Linked DNA regions of Cricetulus griseus. The protein of the gene in region 3 purifies or fractionates together with the protein of the main gene of each other region. This does not show direct contact. Links are inferred from orthologs where the notes say so. Each region holds a gene or a part of one and is shown on either strand. Other genes may lie near its edges.

Region 1 (5,065 bases), on a different chromosome or scaffold from region 3:
AAACACTTTAAGGGCATCTCAGAAAAAAAAAATCAAAAAAAGCTAATTTCTGGTATTCAAATGTACTAAACAGCCTTTTTCTTTCTTAAGGAAAGAAACTAAAGAGCAGAGAAGATGCTCAGAACACCAGAGGATAAAAATAAGAACAATTTTTAAAGACAGAAATGACCTATAAGGTACAGTTGTTTAATTAAAAATAAGTATGCATACATATGTATTTGATAGTCTATTAAAGGTGTGGTGGTGGCACACACCTTTAATCCCAGCACTCGGGAGACAGAGGCAGGCGGATCTCTATGAGTTTGAGACCAGCCTGGTCTACAAGATCTAGTTCCAGGACAGCCTCCAAAGCCACAGAGAAACCCTGTCTCGGAAAAATAAATAAATAAATAAATAAATAAATAAATGGGAAAAAAATCAGTAAATGAGTTAATAAGACCATGGTAACAAGATATCGTGGTTATAGCTCATTTAACAGCAATGTAATTTTAAACATCTTTGAATTTGTATGATATATATTAGTTCAGTTATTACTGTAAAAGAGTAAGCATAGGGTGTTTTTAAAGAAGTATAGTTGAGGGTTGGGGATGCAGCCCAGTGAGTAGAGAGGGTGGAGACACAGTGTTGCAAGGTATTTGATTACATTGTGTAAAGATATGTCACTGTGTTTTAATAAATATTAAATGACCAACAGCTATGTAGAAGGTATAGGTGGGACTTCTGGACAGAGAGAACTCTGGGAAGAAGGGGGAGTCACAGCTGGACTCAGAAGAAGCATGACGTGTAGGAGGAGAGGTAAAAACCATAAACTACATGGCAGCACGATGATTAACAGAAATGGGTTAAGTCATAAGAGCTAGTTAGAAACAACCCTCAGCTAAGGCCAAGTTTTCATAATAAGAAGTCTCACTATTTGGGAGCTAGCAGTACAGAGAAGACTTGCCACATGGCAGCTCAGTAAGTAGAGGTAGAGTGATTTCTAAAATGCACACCACCTTGCCTTCTACCCCTGCATCTCATAAACTGGGCATGGGCTTGTAATCTTAGCAGGAGGTCTTCGTTGGCAACACAGTTGAATTCCAGGCCAGATTGGGACACATAAGATTCTGTCTCAAAACGCAAACATGCTTGTGATGACTTATGCTTCACTACCAATTTTACTGGACTTAGAAATGATGATGGAAACACACCTCTGTATTTCTATAATGGTGTTTCCATAAAGGGTTAACCCAGGAGGGAAGACCCACCCTGAATGCAAACTGAGCTATTTCATGGGTTGGAGTTCTAAGGGAACTAACTAAAAAGGAGAAAGTGAGCTGAGCCCCAGCATTCATCTCCTGCTTCCTGACCGAGGAGGAACTGTGACTAGCCACTTCATGCTCCTGCTGCCATACCTTCAAAGTATAAGAAAATAAACTCCTCCTTCCTTGTGTTGTTTTTGTTAAGTATGTGGTCATTGCAACAAGTCCACATTTCTAGTTCCTTATTCCCAACACAAATACAAATATTTGTAAATGTTGTTTTTGATATTTTTTTCTGGGATAGGGTTTCTCTGTGTAGCTTTGTAGACCAGACTGGCCTTGAACTCAGAGATCTGCCTGCCTCTGCCTCTGGAGTGCTGGGATTAAAGGCGTGTGCCACCACTGCTGGGCTTGTAAAGTCTTAATATTTATTTACTAATTAATCAGAGAAATCTTATTTTACCTGTTTCTTTTCCTTAAAGTCAACAATATGATTGATGGCAACAACTGAATATCCAACTGAAAAAAAAATAGATTATTTAAAAAATATTCTTTCTTGTTCAAGAGTATGAGATGAGGTTAGGGATGTAGCTAAGTGTTAGAATGCTTGCTTAGCATACACAAAGCCCTGGATTCTGTTTCTAGACTTGGAAAGTAAGAGGGTTTAATAATATTTACTGTTATGTTTCAGGTTGTTCATCTGTCAAGTGATGTTAACAGCAGACAGCACTTCAGAGTGTCATGAAAATTAAGCATTTTAGAAGAGTGCCAGGCACATATTTAGGCTGTGATTTATGCTAGCAAAACACTAAAAACACCTTGTTTCTGCTTTCCAAACAATATTCTCAGGATTTCCTGCCCCTTTGTTCATTTTTATTCCATCAAGTTTATGTGTCTTTCCGTCACCTTCATTATCATTCATTTCTTCTGCGATGCTCTATTTCCTCCCTTACCCGAAGGTGCAATGGAAGGACGAATCCCTTACACCTCTTTTGAGGTGCTCTACAGTAAAAGACAGGGAAAACGACGGTTTGCCTTATCCTCACAACAGTTAGCACTGCTTGGAAAAGTGCCTCTGTCGCCAACACATCTAAATCACGACTCTTGTCTTTAAGTTGTCTAAAGACCAACAAGATGATAGAGTATTAATATAAAAGATAGTGCATGGTAATGGCAAACTAGTCTAATAACTCCCGAGTTCAAGCTATTAGAGCATCCATTATTTGACAGACCCTATGGCAGGCGACAGCACACATGATTAATGCTCATCCCCAAGGAACTTAAAACTCGGGAGAAATAAGGTAACACCCTCCCCATTCTCTAAGAGTCCACAGCAGTTCCTGCCTGCGACCCAGCTTTCTGTATTTGTCAGATGTCGTCGGGGCCCAAAAGGACTGACGTTAAAAGCACCCACCGGCTTAGGGGACTGTACACCTGGAGTCCAGTCCCAGAGCCTACCATTCATCAGCTCACAGCCCCCTTGCCAACACCTCGACCCCTTTGGCCTCTGTTCTCTCCCTCCGCACGGAAAGACTGTGCAAGCCCAGGCAACGGCAGCTTCCTCAGTAGCCTGTGAGTTTCACACGCCAGGGATCCGGGAGACATAGCAACTACCATTTGCCTCTAGGGAAATGCCGCAATCCCACGAGAGACCCAATAATAGGGCCTGGAAAAACTACCAAGCAAACCGGTGGTATGGGGGCAGCGAGGGGCCGGGCTCGCGGGGCGAAGCCAGTAGACTCACGGTGAGCAGCGGTCTCCACCAGTCCCCGAAGAGCCTTCAAGTCCGAGCCCGCTCTTAGGTCCAAATCTGCGAACGCCGCCATGCTGACGTCCCAGGAGCACCCGCGCGCCAATCTGCGCAGTCGCCCTGTTATTCCTCGAGCATGCTGGGAGTTGTAGGCTGTCACTTTGGCATCCTGGGATTTGTGGTTTTTCCCTTCTCAGTCGTCTACTCTCTGCACAGTATTTCCTGTCCTCTAGAAACCAGCCAAAGTTAGTGTGCTCGAACCTACAGCCTCACTTACTCCCTTTTTGTCGTGATTTGAACGAGAATGTTTGGTAGACACAGTAGGGTCTTTCCCCCCGCCCCTCTCGCCAATACAACAGAGTAGAAAGTGATTCATTCTAAACACACCCATAGAGCATTTTGAGATCAAGCAGACGTCTAAGGTCGTGAAGCCCTGTTCCAAGAGCTGGGTGAGCCTGGGGTGGTGGCCCACGCCTTCAGTTCCAGCAATTGGAGGGCTGAGGCAACTCTATGAGTTTGAGGCCATCCTGATCTACACGGTGACATCCAGGCCAGAGAGGGATACATAAGTCTCCAAAGTAGGTAAGTTGATAAGCACATGAAGAGACATGGGAAAATGTTTTTCTTTCCTTTCTCTAATGTCCATTCCATTCTTTGAAAATGGGCTTAAAAGCCTCTTTGAAGCGCTTGCTCTGGGGCGGATTGTTTTAGTTCTTTGGGCTAAGCCTAAGATAATGGGTCTCTGTTATAGAAACATCTACAACCACAAGATGGCAGGGCACTCTCAAAGATGAAAGCTTAGCGACAATACACAAATTTTCATGAGACATATTGCAATATCATTTGATGTTTCTACTTTAAAAATTAACTTTTGAATATTGGCAGATCAATTATCCGACGGCATAAAATGCTGGCATTCTTTTTAATCCACTTGATGCAGAAGGGCAGTTCTTTACTCCTTTCCATTCTGTCTCTGGCTGGCTAGCATGGGAATCCTTTATGCATTACCAATAAGCTGCCCCAGCCTCCTGCAGCTCAGTAATATGATATCTGAACTGCTGGGTTCTCAAATAAGAAAAGTCTATCGATCAGTAGGACTTGACCATTAGGACAATAACGAAGTGCTGAAAAGGTTTAGAAACATTTCAATTTCTGTACTGATTGCAAACAGTATGAGGACTTCCCCTCTGATCACACTTTGAGTAATACTCTTCAACATAATGGTCTCTAATTTCTTACTGATTTTTGAGAGAATATTTATTATTATTATTATTGTTATTTTGAAACAGGTTATTGTTAGTAGCCCAGGGTGGGCTCAAATTCACAATCTTCTTGTCTCAGAATCCCGAGCGTTGGGATCACAGCTGTGCTTTGCCACACCTAGCTTTGGTTAATTTACATAAAGAAAAAAATTGTTGTTTTGTTTGGTATTTCCCCCAAACAAAACAACAGCAAAACAACTTCTGCCACTAGAGCAAAGTCATACAAAACAAACCACTGGCTTTTCAACAGAATGTCTAGTGCTGGCTTTTGTACAAGTAGAAAGGCATCTTCATACATGATCGCAAAATCTGGATTGGTCAGTAGTATGGCCATAGTGTAGTGGACCTAAGTTAAGATTAAGAATTTTGATTATTTGATGCTGAGATTAGGTTGAAGAGGACATATTTGTTTTAAAGTCGTGGTGATGTTGCTGTGGACTTCACCATTTAGAATCCCTTTGCTCTATACCCTGAGCTTTGTTGAAGAGGAAGAGAAAGGGTGAGAAATAAAATGAACGGATGAAAATAATTGAGCACTATACTGGGGCAGACCATTTGCAAGTACTTATGTGTGTGTGTCTTATTAATTTTCAAAGCAATTAGTATTGTTTTTTCTTAAATCAACATCTATTTCTTTTGACATTTGAGCAACCAAAGAATTAGGCAATTATATAATGGCGGGTTGAAGCATTTGGCTCAGTTGCTGCGCAGTGTATTGTCTCCTGAGATAAGCAAGCAGAGAGGACAGTTGTGGATGGCAGGTAAAGGAGAGAAAATGAAGAGAAATAAAGGGTCAAGGAAGGTGAGAGGAA
Region 2 (4,293 bases), on a different chromosome or scaffold from region 3:
CAATTCCACTCTATTACCTGGAGCCTGCTGACTACCAATATAACCATTCTCTCTCTTCAGATACCTGCAGTAAATCTGAATCCAAGGCCAAAGTGAGGCAGAAAAAAACAGCAATGGAAAAAAGGCAAGAATGACACCCAAAGAAAGATGTGGGATTGAGGTCTACTTTCAAGATAAAAAACAGCATGTCTGTAAACTTAAGTCACTTACAACATTTATATAGCATCAGGTGCTCAGGTGGTATCTGAGTGTCAAATATGGACACCTCTTTATAAGAACTCTAATGGGGGGGGGGCGGACTGGAGATGGCTCAGCAGTTAAGAGCACTGGCTGCTGTTTCAGAGGTCCTGGGTTCAATTCTCAGCACACACATGGCAGCTCACAATTGTATGTAACTCCAGCTCCAGGAAATCTGTCATCTTCACACCAATGAACATAAATTATTAAAAAAGAATGCCAATGAGGTAAACCCTCTACACCCCATTTTACAGATGGGAGCACAAAGGTCCAGGAAGTAGCTTTATCCAAAACTACAAAGCAGTAACTTGTGAGTGGGAGAGCCAGGACTAAAACCGTGACAGGCAAAGCCCGAGTTCATGATCCCACTATTCTAAAACATATGACACAGATGGGAGAAATGCCTGACCTGGTTGAGTCCCAAGCCAGCTTAAAGCAGGTGGCAAAAAGTCATGCAGGTGACTGCTTGAAATGTATTGACACCAGATCCACCCAGCAGCGGCCTCTACCTACCCTTCTGGCCTCCAGGCCATGAGCTCCGGGGCAAGGCGGGCCTCACACCCCTCCAATCCCACTTACACACAAGCAGGCCAAACAAATGGGCATGACCTTTATTTCCCTCTCCTAGACTGATGTCAAAAAAGGCAAGTCAGATATACTGTAGACAGAGTAAGCCCTTCTCAAGCAGTCTGTAACTCAGCACTGACCCCATATGCCCTTCATTCTTCATAGCATCCCGCATCCCAGGGGGGAGGGGAGGCAGGACTCCAGTGGACTCAAGCCTTGCTGGCATGTTAAGTGTCACACAAGCCCTTCTTACAGAAGGCACAGAGAATCAGGTCTAGAGTACAGTCAGGCTCAGCAGGTCTTCAGGACCGGGTGTCCCGAGCCCTTCTTCGGGGTCTGGGACCACAGCTAGGTATGGAGCCCAGGCCTGGGGGCGCTCCCGGGGGTTGGTAGCCACATTCACTGGGGTCCAAGGGGTCCCGACTGAGTAGCACCCACACTGCAGGCACGTGACGTCGAACTGTGAGGGGGTCTAGGCCTGTGTCTGGTGAGGTTGGGACCCAGCTGTCCTCAGTTTGCAGGAAACGAAGCTTGGTGAGTTGGTGGAGGCCTGGGACCCGCCGTTTGACAATCTCTGCACAGCTGACAGCCTTCCCAGCTGCCCGGCCAGAGCCTGAGAACACCACATGCCTTGTGCTCCCCCCCTCCAAACGACCCAAAGCCAGTCCTAGCAGGTTTCGGATTTTGCTCCCATCTCGGACTCGCATTTCCAGGGTGTCAGGAGGTAGCTGGGGCATTGGTGAAGATGCTGGGAGCTCTACAGAGCCAGCCCTCCGGTAGTGTTCCATTCTGCTCCGGTGGCCTTGGTGAATCTCTCTTGCTGTGCACTGGGGGAAGCGGTCAGATGAGTGTCAGGACTATGACCAGGTCCATCCTCCATCACTCCCTCCAGGATATACCCCTCACCCCAAGGCTGGAGAGTCTTACACACGGAAAGAACCAAACTCCCCCCACTCCCCAAACCAGGCTATCCGGGATAGGGCCATGCTTCATCAGCTCAAGCTTTTCAGGGCTAGGCCAGACCCCTCCTCACCCACAACTCTCTAAAACAGGAGCCTTTCCTCACTAGGCTTCCAAGGACTCGGACAAGCTCCTCTCACTGTGTGCTTCCAGGAAACAGAATCAAGACTTGGCCCCAGGCTGCCTGGGGCACAGCCACGAACTCTCACAAAGTACTCCCTAAAGAAAGAACCGGCCCCTCCGGGCTCTCGGCCGGCTGAGTAGACTTCATCCTTAGATTACCAGGGTTGGGGGGCTTGAGCCAGGCCATTCGGGAACTCGAGAGTGGGGGCTCGCACAGACCACTGCTCGGACCAAACATGGACGGTCTGGCGGGCTCCCCGGTCGTGGGCCGCTGTCCCAGGCAGCAGACATCCCCTTTCCCCACGTCTGAGTACCCAGGCCCTGGGATTTGGCTCTTACCACTACCGCCCGTCCACGCTCGACCCAAGATGGCGCGCAGACCGGGAGCGCACGGGGCCGCGGGAGCGCGCACGCAGGGGGCGGGGCCTGAGGGAAACCCGGGACGCCGTTGGGCTCAGCTGAGCTGGTACCCGCAGCTGGCCCGCATCCCGCGGTCCGCGGTGATGCCGAAGCACGCCAGAACCCGCAGAGGGCCCTGCCCGGGAGAGGAATGGCTATCGGAGGAGTCCTGAGCATGAAGAATGCGAATCTGTGCCCTTAAACGATGGATGGTGCGCGTCACCTGTTGACTCACCGCATCGGTGAAGGAGAAGCTGAAGCATTGGTGGATACAAGCGGGCGAGACCCTTAGTTCTGAGCTTTGTTCTCATCCTGGGGCACTGGACAACCCTGGTAGTCTTCAGAAGGGACTAAGCCATAACTTGTGCACAACTCATTGGCCATAGATTGGCGTATAGGCTAGGAGGATCCGGTAGTGGGGGCAACAGATACCGTGACCTTGGGAAGGGTCTGTACCCTGCACCATCATAACGCGTCAGGCGCGGGGGTAGGAGGGTGCCCACGGAACCTAGTACAGTACTCAGAGTGAAACAGGTTCTGCAACATCTGTCCAACATGTTGATTAACCACCGAAATGGCAAGAATTGAGAAGAGATTAATTAACTTGGTAAAAACTCGTAGGAAGTTCTGGGAAAGAGCCGGGAACTATTTGTTGGAATAGTCTAGGATGACTGCTAGTTTCAGATCGTTTTGGACAAGCTGCATTTTGCGTGCCAGCAAAACTACAAATTGGTTGGTCTACAGGCAGTTGAAGGAGCCGAGGCACTCCCTCAGGCCACAAGAGGGCAGCATACACTTGGTGGAGCGCGGTGCTTAAACTGTTCATCCAAGCTTTCCCATCATCTGCTCCTCCTTCCCAGATCCTAAAATTCACTGCATCCAAGCCTCTTGGCTCCTCTTCTGGTATTCGGTAGACACAAGGCTATGCTGCCTTGGCTCTGAACGTCCCTGCTTGTTCCTCCATGATCATCCTGGCATGCTGAGCCCCACCTGGTAGGACTACCACTTTCTTGGTCTTCCCCCAAACCCTATACAGAAATGAGGTGACCCTACCTGTGCCCTCCTTACGTGCCGTAGGATCTGATATTTAGAGGGCAGTTGGAAAATGTGGGATAAATATACAATGCCCCACTGTATCAATCAGATGCAAGAGTACTACATCTTTCAGAAGCTCGACCAGGAGTAGTTCCAGGTCCCACCCTGATAGTGACAGCTCTCCCCTTCACCATTCCAGTTCTCACAGCCAAGCCCATCTTAGATCAGCAAGCCAAAACACACCTTCAGCGGTAGCTACAGTTTATTGTCATTGGAATAAATACACTGATGGGGAGTGCAAATCATGACTCTAAGGTAACCTGATCTCTGACCTCAGAGCCCCAACTGAGCAGACAGGTAGTCTTTGAATTGAATAAATACAAAGCTGTCTCTGCCTCACAAAGACAGGGTGGCACAGGGCCCTGGAGCTGGCCCCCCTTTCCCTGGCCTGGCACAGTAAGCAACTGTCATTCTTCTGCTGGCTTCACTTGCTTGGCAGCCTCTAGCTGGCAGAGTAGTTCATCCCACTGCACGAATTGCTTGGAGAGAAGCATTGTCTGGTCAGAAGTCAAGGTGACAACAGGAGTGTGAATGAGGAAGCACAGAGATTTGGCATGTGCCCAAAGCGGTGAAGGCAGGAGAGGAGAGGAGAGAATGGGATGGGCGCATTAGGGGCAGCAGAAACAGGCTTTGGGAGAGGGCCCATTAAGCACAAAAGATACAGTCTTGTTATATTCCTCCAGGAGAGCCTTGGACTCCTCACTGATCTCCATACACTGGTCCTGTAGGCCAAAGCATAGCTTAGAAAGGAGTGGAATAATGCCTCATCTCCCACTGAACTCCTTCCCTCCAAACCTAAAAAAAGATGGTGCTTAAATAACCTAGAGCGAAAGGAGAAAACTGCAAAACAGGCACTTCCAATCCTAGGTCAGGTGCCCTGAACAGCAGCCCAAAGAGTAACTGGAGGGGCGG
Region 3 (5,101 bases):
CAGTGTCCAGCTGTACCCTGATTTGCAGCTTGTGCTGTCATAGGACAACTGGTCACTACAGAGGGCAAGGGGAAGACTCCTGTGTTTTCTCCTAAGAAACTCAACCCTGGAATAGTTGAGGGCCAAGTGGATTTTCCATGACCATCATTTCTGGGAGCAGCTGTGCTGGTATATACAAAGTCACGTGATGATACTGATACCAGGTTATAAATTTATGATGGGCCTTATTCATACACTCACCTACTTCTTTGTTGCATTCCACAGAAACAAGAATAAAGGAAACTCCAAAAGCCTTGTAATATACAGTGACAAAGTGAAGATTAAACAAGTTTTAACCATTCGAGTAATAGCAAATTTTTTGATAATTCATTTCAGTAACATAACATACACTGGCATACACACACATTGTTATTCAAAAGAACCTGACATCTGAATTGCACCCTGGGACCTGCAGGTGGAAGGAGAGAACCACCTCTCACAAGTTATCCTCTGATATCCACAGACATGTGCACGCACACACACTCACACACACACACACACAAACTGTCAAAACTTTAAAAAGAGAATGGGGCCAGTGAGGCCAAGTAACCCTTTATGGTACTTCCTTGCTACTCCAACCTTGCTCCCTGTTTACCCTCAGATATGTAAGATTTTTCTGAACTTAAGATCTTAACTCCCTAGTAAATCATAAACTCATCTAATTTTCAGAAACCTACCTGCTTTAGTCAAGAAGGTACGGATTCAGGGTAGGCTGTGACAGACTTTTTATCATATTTCACAATCTACGCAGTCATAGTCAAATAAATACTAAGTGATTAACTGACACAGAGCAGCTGTTAAGTGTTTATTGAACTGGCAAGCACGCGTGTGGAATGCTGCAGAGAAGCAGCTCCTGGCCCCAGCAGTGTTTCCAGCTCTCAGCAGTTCCACTTAAAACAGCAGAACCCTGAACGATCTGGGTAACTGCCCAGAAGTTTCACATGTGCACATCTAAACTCCCATCAAAGCAAAAATATCATCAATGTCATCTGCCTCTTTAGCAGCTTGTGGCACACTGTGTGTGTGTGTTTGTCTGTTTGTCCACAAACCAGTTTCATTTCTACTGCCTGCTGTGAGATTCCCATGGAACCCCGGCTCCTTTGTTTTCAGGACAGACTTTGAAAGTCTTCTCAAGACCTGCTTTCTGTTAGGACAGACATCTGTCCTCTGAACTGTCCCACCTGAGCGGCTCCACTTAGCACTAGGGTCCCTAGTGCTCTTCAGAGTCCCTTCAGGTTCCTGCTGAGTTTCCTTTAAAAGAGTTGACTGTAACTTTCTCTGCGGTTTCCTCTGTCTCGATAAAACTTTATGCTTTGATCTTTTTTGTCTAGGAGAACACTTTGAAGTGCTGATAATGGAGCCTCGAAGAAGGCAGTTGCAAAGAGATGTTTTCATGCACTGTAGCTTCTTTGGCAAACTAAAGGACAGAAGAGAAAAATCTCAACTTATTATGATGCTAAAAAGTTATCAAGCACTTTTAACTGTCTGCACCAACTTCCAACAGAAAAGTACACCATTTGTTATAAGCCCTAGGCCTGTATGTATGTATGTATAACCTCAAATATACAAAATAAAGCAATGGGAGTTCCAACCTAAGAGTATGTTTTTCAAGCTGATTGCCTCTTCAGGATGCAGGCAAATGTGCCTCCATTATACCCTCAACACAATTCCCAATAACTACCTAACAAGGTCACAAATGGTGAGACACCTCCACATTTGAAAGGCATGGCCTTTCCCTTATGCTGATAATCAGTTCCTAGGGTAAACAAGTGGAAACTGCAAAATATCCCAAATGGGAAGCTCTAGAGTATGTCATAATGCATCTCTAGCTAAGTTCATGGCATAGATGAACAGAGCAAGGGAATAAAAGTGAAGAGGGAGGTCTTCCACTGAAGACAGACTGACAGCTGTCAGATACCCTGAGTGTGAGTTGTGCTGTACCCCCTTCAAGTCTGCAGTAGAACTCAGCTGATGAGTCTAGGCATTTGCTTCACTACCTTATGGCTTATTCTGGCCTTGGTAAACTACCTACTGCACTGTTGGTAAAGATTAACATGGCTCTATGTGCCTTACCCAAATCCCTTCATTCTTTAAAAAAAAAAAAAAAAAAAAAAAAAAATGCATAATCGTTTAAGGAAAACCTGTGTAATAACCAATTCATGACCCATTATAGCAGTGAGTTTTTATTGTGTAAAAAGTGGGTGCATCTCTGAGCTGAAACAAAAACAAGAATCAGAGGAACTGAATTGAGTTCTAGATCTCCAGTTCCAATACCTTGAGCAATACCACCTCTTTATGTACAAAATGGGAATGGCAATGCCTACTCTTCAGACTACTGTGGGCATTAAGTGTTTTACAAAATGTACTACAGAAAGAAAAAAAAAAAAAAAAAGAAAAGAAAAAAAAACATAGTAATAGGGTAATATGGTCACTATATTTTGGGAATTAGAGAGTAATAGTTTAAGCAATAAACCCGAGTTTGTTACCCCTCTTGCTAACTGTTCATCATTATGATTTGTGTCCTCATCGATCCTTGTAAGAACCACGATAAATTGAATATATCAATACGTGAGCATCCAGCTGCTATAAGCATCAAACCTGACCCTAATCCCTACAACCTGTGTGGGCCTCACAGGCAGAAGCACTCACTTCTCTGACTATCTCACCCAGCTGTGCTGATGCTGCCTAGAGAATGCTACCTCCCACTAGAAAATGAGTGCCTGAGGACTAAAACTGCTTGCTGCACGCTGTTGGCCCCAGGCTTTGAAGGCCCCAGGCAACCTTAATAATGCCTTCTGAAATGAACCAGCAGGAATGATGCGGTACAAATTAGTTAAGTCCAGTGAACTTGTCATTCATTTTCTGCCTCATGACACAACCTCCCAGATTCCATGAGCAACACACGCAACTATACTTTGAGTAGGTCTTATTTTAGCACCCCGAGGGCTGCTAGACATCCCACCTTAAACAAAGGCGGTAACGCACATACGTACATTTTCTTACCGAAAGGGGGGAGGAATTTTCTAACATACTTACCTATAACCTTGAGCTTCCACATGCCTAAGCCTGTTACTCTTGAGAAGTTTGTTGCCCAGATAGGTGGCCTGAGCCTTGAGCTTTTTGCTCCGGCACCACATGACTGCCGTTTGGATTTCCTCAGAAAGCTGGGTGAAAGTCTTGGTCACTCGGATTCTTTGCACAATATTGCTAGCCCAGAGAGTTCGTGTCAGTTTCTGAGAGGAAAGTTTGCTTGTCTTCAATCTGGATTGAGAACATTTAAACTCCCGGCTCGTCTCCTGAAATATAAAAAGGTGAGAAGGATACATTTAAAATGGTATTGACTTGTAAACAAAGAACAAGAATCTTGGAAAGCTGATTCATTTTTTTTTTTAATTTCAAATAATTAGTCTTGCCAGGTATTGGTGGCACACGCCTTTGATCCCAGCACTTGGGAGGCAGAGGTGGTGGATCTCTGTGAGTTCAACGTCAGTCTGGTCTACAGAGCGAGTTCCAGGACAACTTCGAAAGCAATACAGGATAAACCCTGTCATGAAAAACCAAAAAAAAAAAAAAAAGTTTTTTAATTCATTCTCCTAACACTACTTTTTTACCTCTCTACCAAGGCAGGTCCTATCTGCCTTTTAATTAAATGTACACAGAAAACCCAAAATAAAGCCAGGCAGTGGTGGCTTTAATCCCAGCACCTGGGAGGCAGATGTGGGTGAATCTGGTCTACAGAGCAAATTCCTGGACAGCCAGGGCTACACAAGAGAAACCTCATCTTGAAAAATCAAAAAGAAAAGAGAGAAAATCCAAGATACTCTCATACACATATGTGACATACAAAATAAAACGCTGATTAAATACTAGTCAAAGGATAATGATGGGGGGGGGGAATCACAAGTCTTTAACAATGACATCTCTGAACTACCTAGTTTGTTTGGAAGGTTGTTTTATTTGACTTTATTTCTTTTATTGAAGACTAAACTTAGGACCTTGCTCACATTTGGCAAGTGGTCTGTATCCCCAGCCCTTTTAAGGTTTTTATTCTGAGACAGGACTTCAACAAGTAACCCTTCAACAAGCAAGACTGAACTTGCCATCCTCCTGCCTCAGCCTCCTGAGTAGCAGGGATAACCGGCCTGTGCCAGCAGGACTGACTTGGACTCACTTGCTCTCCACTTATTCCTATCCCCACAGGAACAATCCTCAAGATGGGTCATAAACATCACTAAAAACAATAAAGATGGGAAGCCCTGGAAAGTGCCCCACACCATAGGGCTGTCAGCTAGTTGATGAACAGGACAAAATGATTAAGTGTGCGGTCTTCCTAACCTTGCACCGCTTTTAACAAGGCATCTTTATTTCTCCAGTCTCTTCTACAGCAAGTCAAGTTCGGATTTTACTAGCTTTTCTGACTTTATGAAGATTATTCCACCTACTAAGTCTACCCAAATTCCATTTAAAGCTTACTTTCTTTCCAAATCTGTGGAGGGACATGCCATTAATCCCCGCACTCAGGAAGCAGAGGCAGACAGGTCTCTATGAGGTCAGTCTGCTGGCCTATATTTGTTGAGTTCCAGGCCAGCCAGGGCTTCATAGTGAGACTCAGCCAAATAAATAGTAAGTAAATAAATTCCCACACTCAACAGGTACCTAAAGAAATAATTATGAATTAAAGACACTCTAGTATTGTTTTGTGATCAATAACTTGCTCTAAAAACAAGCTGCACCTATGAATGCCAATTAGAATATGAGAGTAATTTCTCTTGAATGAGGAGTATGCCAACCAACCAGATGAAGCCCAGCTCCCATGTGAACTGGCTCTTAGGCTGCAGAGGTGGGAAGGCCCACAGACACCACAGTTCCTGAGACCAGAATTCAAAGATTCTGTATTAAGGAACCATGGGTTCTGCATTCAAACCTGATCCCTGTCATGTGGCCTGGATAACTTTTTGAGACTGTCTATGCCTCAGTTTCTTCCTTTAAAATATGAAAGCAGTAATGCAAGAATCAACCTAATGGGGTTTTTCTGAGGATTATGGGAGTTAATACACATAAG

What was found.
Region 1: the proteins of Nepro (region 3) and Rpp30 purify together in Homo sapiens (affinity purification with mass spectrometry; 3 studies listed by BioGRID and IntAct, counting the BioPlex papers as one, with this or other methods). This does not show direct contact. The link is inferred for Cricetulus griseus from reciprocal best matches to the Homo sapiens genes RMP64 and RPP30.
Region 2: the proteins of Nepro (region 3) and Rpp25l purify together in Homo sapiens (affinity purification with mass spectrometry; 3 studies listed by BioGRID and IntAct, with this or other methods). This does not show direct contact. The link is inferred for Cricetulus griseus from reciprocal best matches to the Homo sapiens genes RMP64 and RPP25L.

What each region holds. Positions count from the first base shown.
Region 1 is NC_048596.1:25,690,812-25,695,876, forward strand, and holds the start of Rpp30 (ribonuclease P protein subunit p30), read right to left. Parts: upstream 3,134-5,065; 5' UTR 3,068-3,133; coding exon 2,986-3,067; intron 1,761-2,985; coding exon 1,705-1,760; intron 1-1,704. UniProt on the Homo sapiens protein: Component of ribonuclease P, a ribonucleoprotein complex that generates mature tRNA molecules by cleaving their 5'-ends. Also a component of the MRP ribonuclease complex, which cleaves pre-rRNA sequences.
Region 2 is NC_048595.1:100,887,223-100,891,515, reverse strand, and holds Rpp25l (ribonuclease P protein subunit p25-like protein), read right to left. Parts: upstream 2,216-4,293; 5' UTR 2,179-2,215; coding exon 2,047-2,178; intron 2,031-2,046; exon of another isoform or gene 1,838-2,030; intron 1,632-1,837; coding exon 1,107-1,631; 3' UTR 834-1,106; downstream 1-833. Other genes in the region: Dctn3 (dynactin subunit 3), read right to left, coding at 3,789-3,878, 4,044-4,103. UniProt on the Homo sapiens protein: May be a component of ribonuclease P or MRP.
Region 3 is NC_048597.1:45,708,872-45,713,972, forward strand, and holds the end of Nepro (nucleolus and neural progenitor protein), read right to left. Parts: intron 3,336-5,101; coding exon 3,076-3,335; intron 1,636-3,075; exon of another isoform or gene 1,457-1,635; coding exon 991-1,456; 3' UTR 832-990; downstream 1-831. UniProt on the Homo sapiens protein: May play a role in cortex development as part of the Notch signaling pathway. Downstream of Notch may repress the expression of proneural genes and inhibit neuronal differentiation thereby maintaining neural progenitors.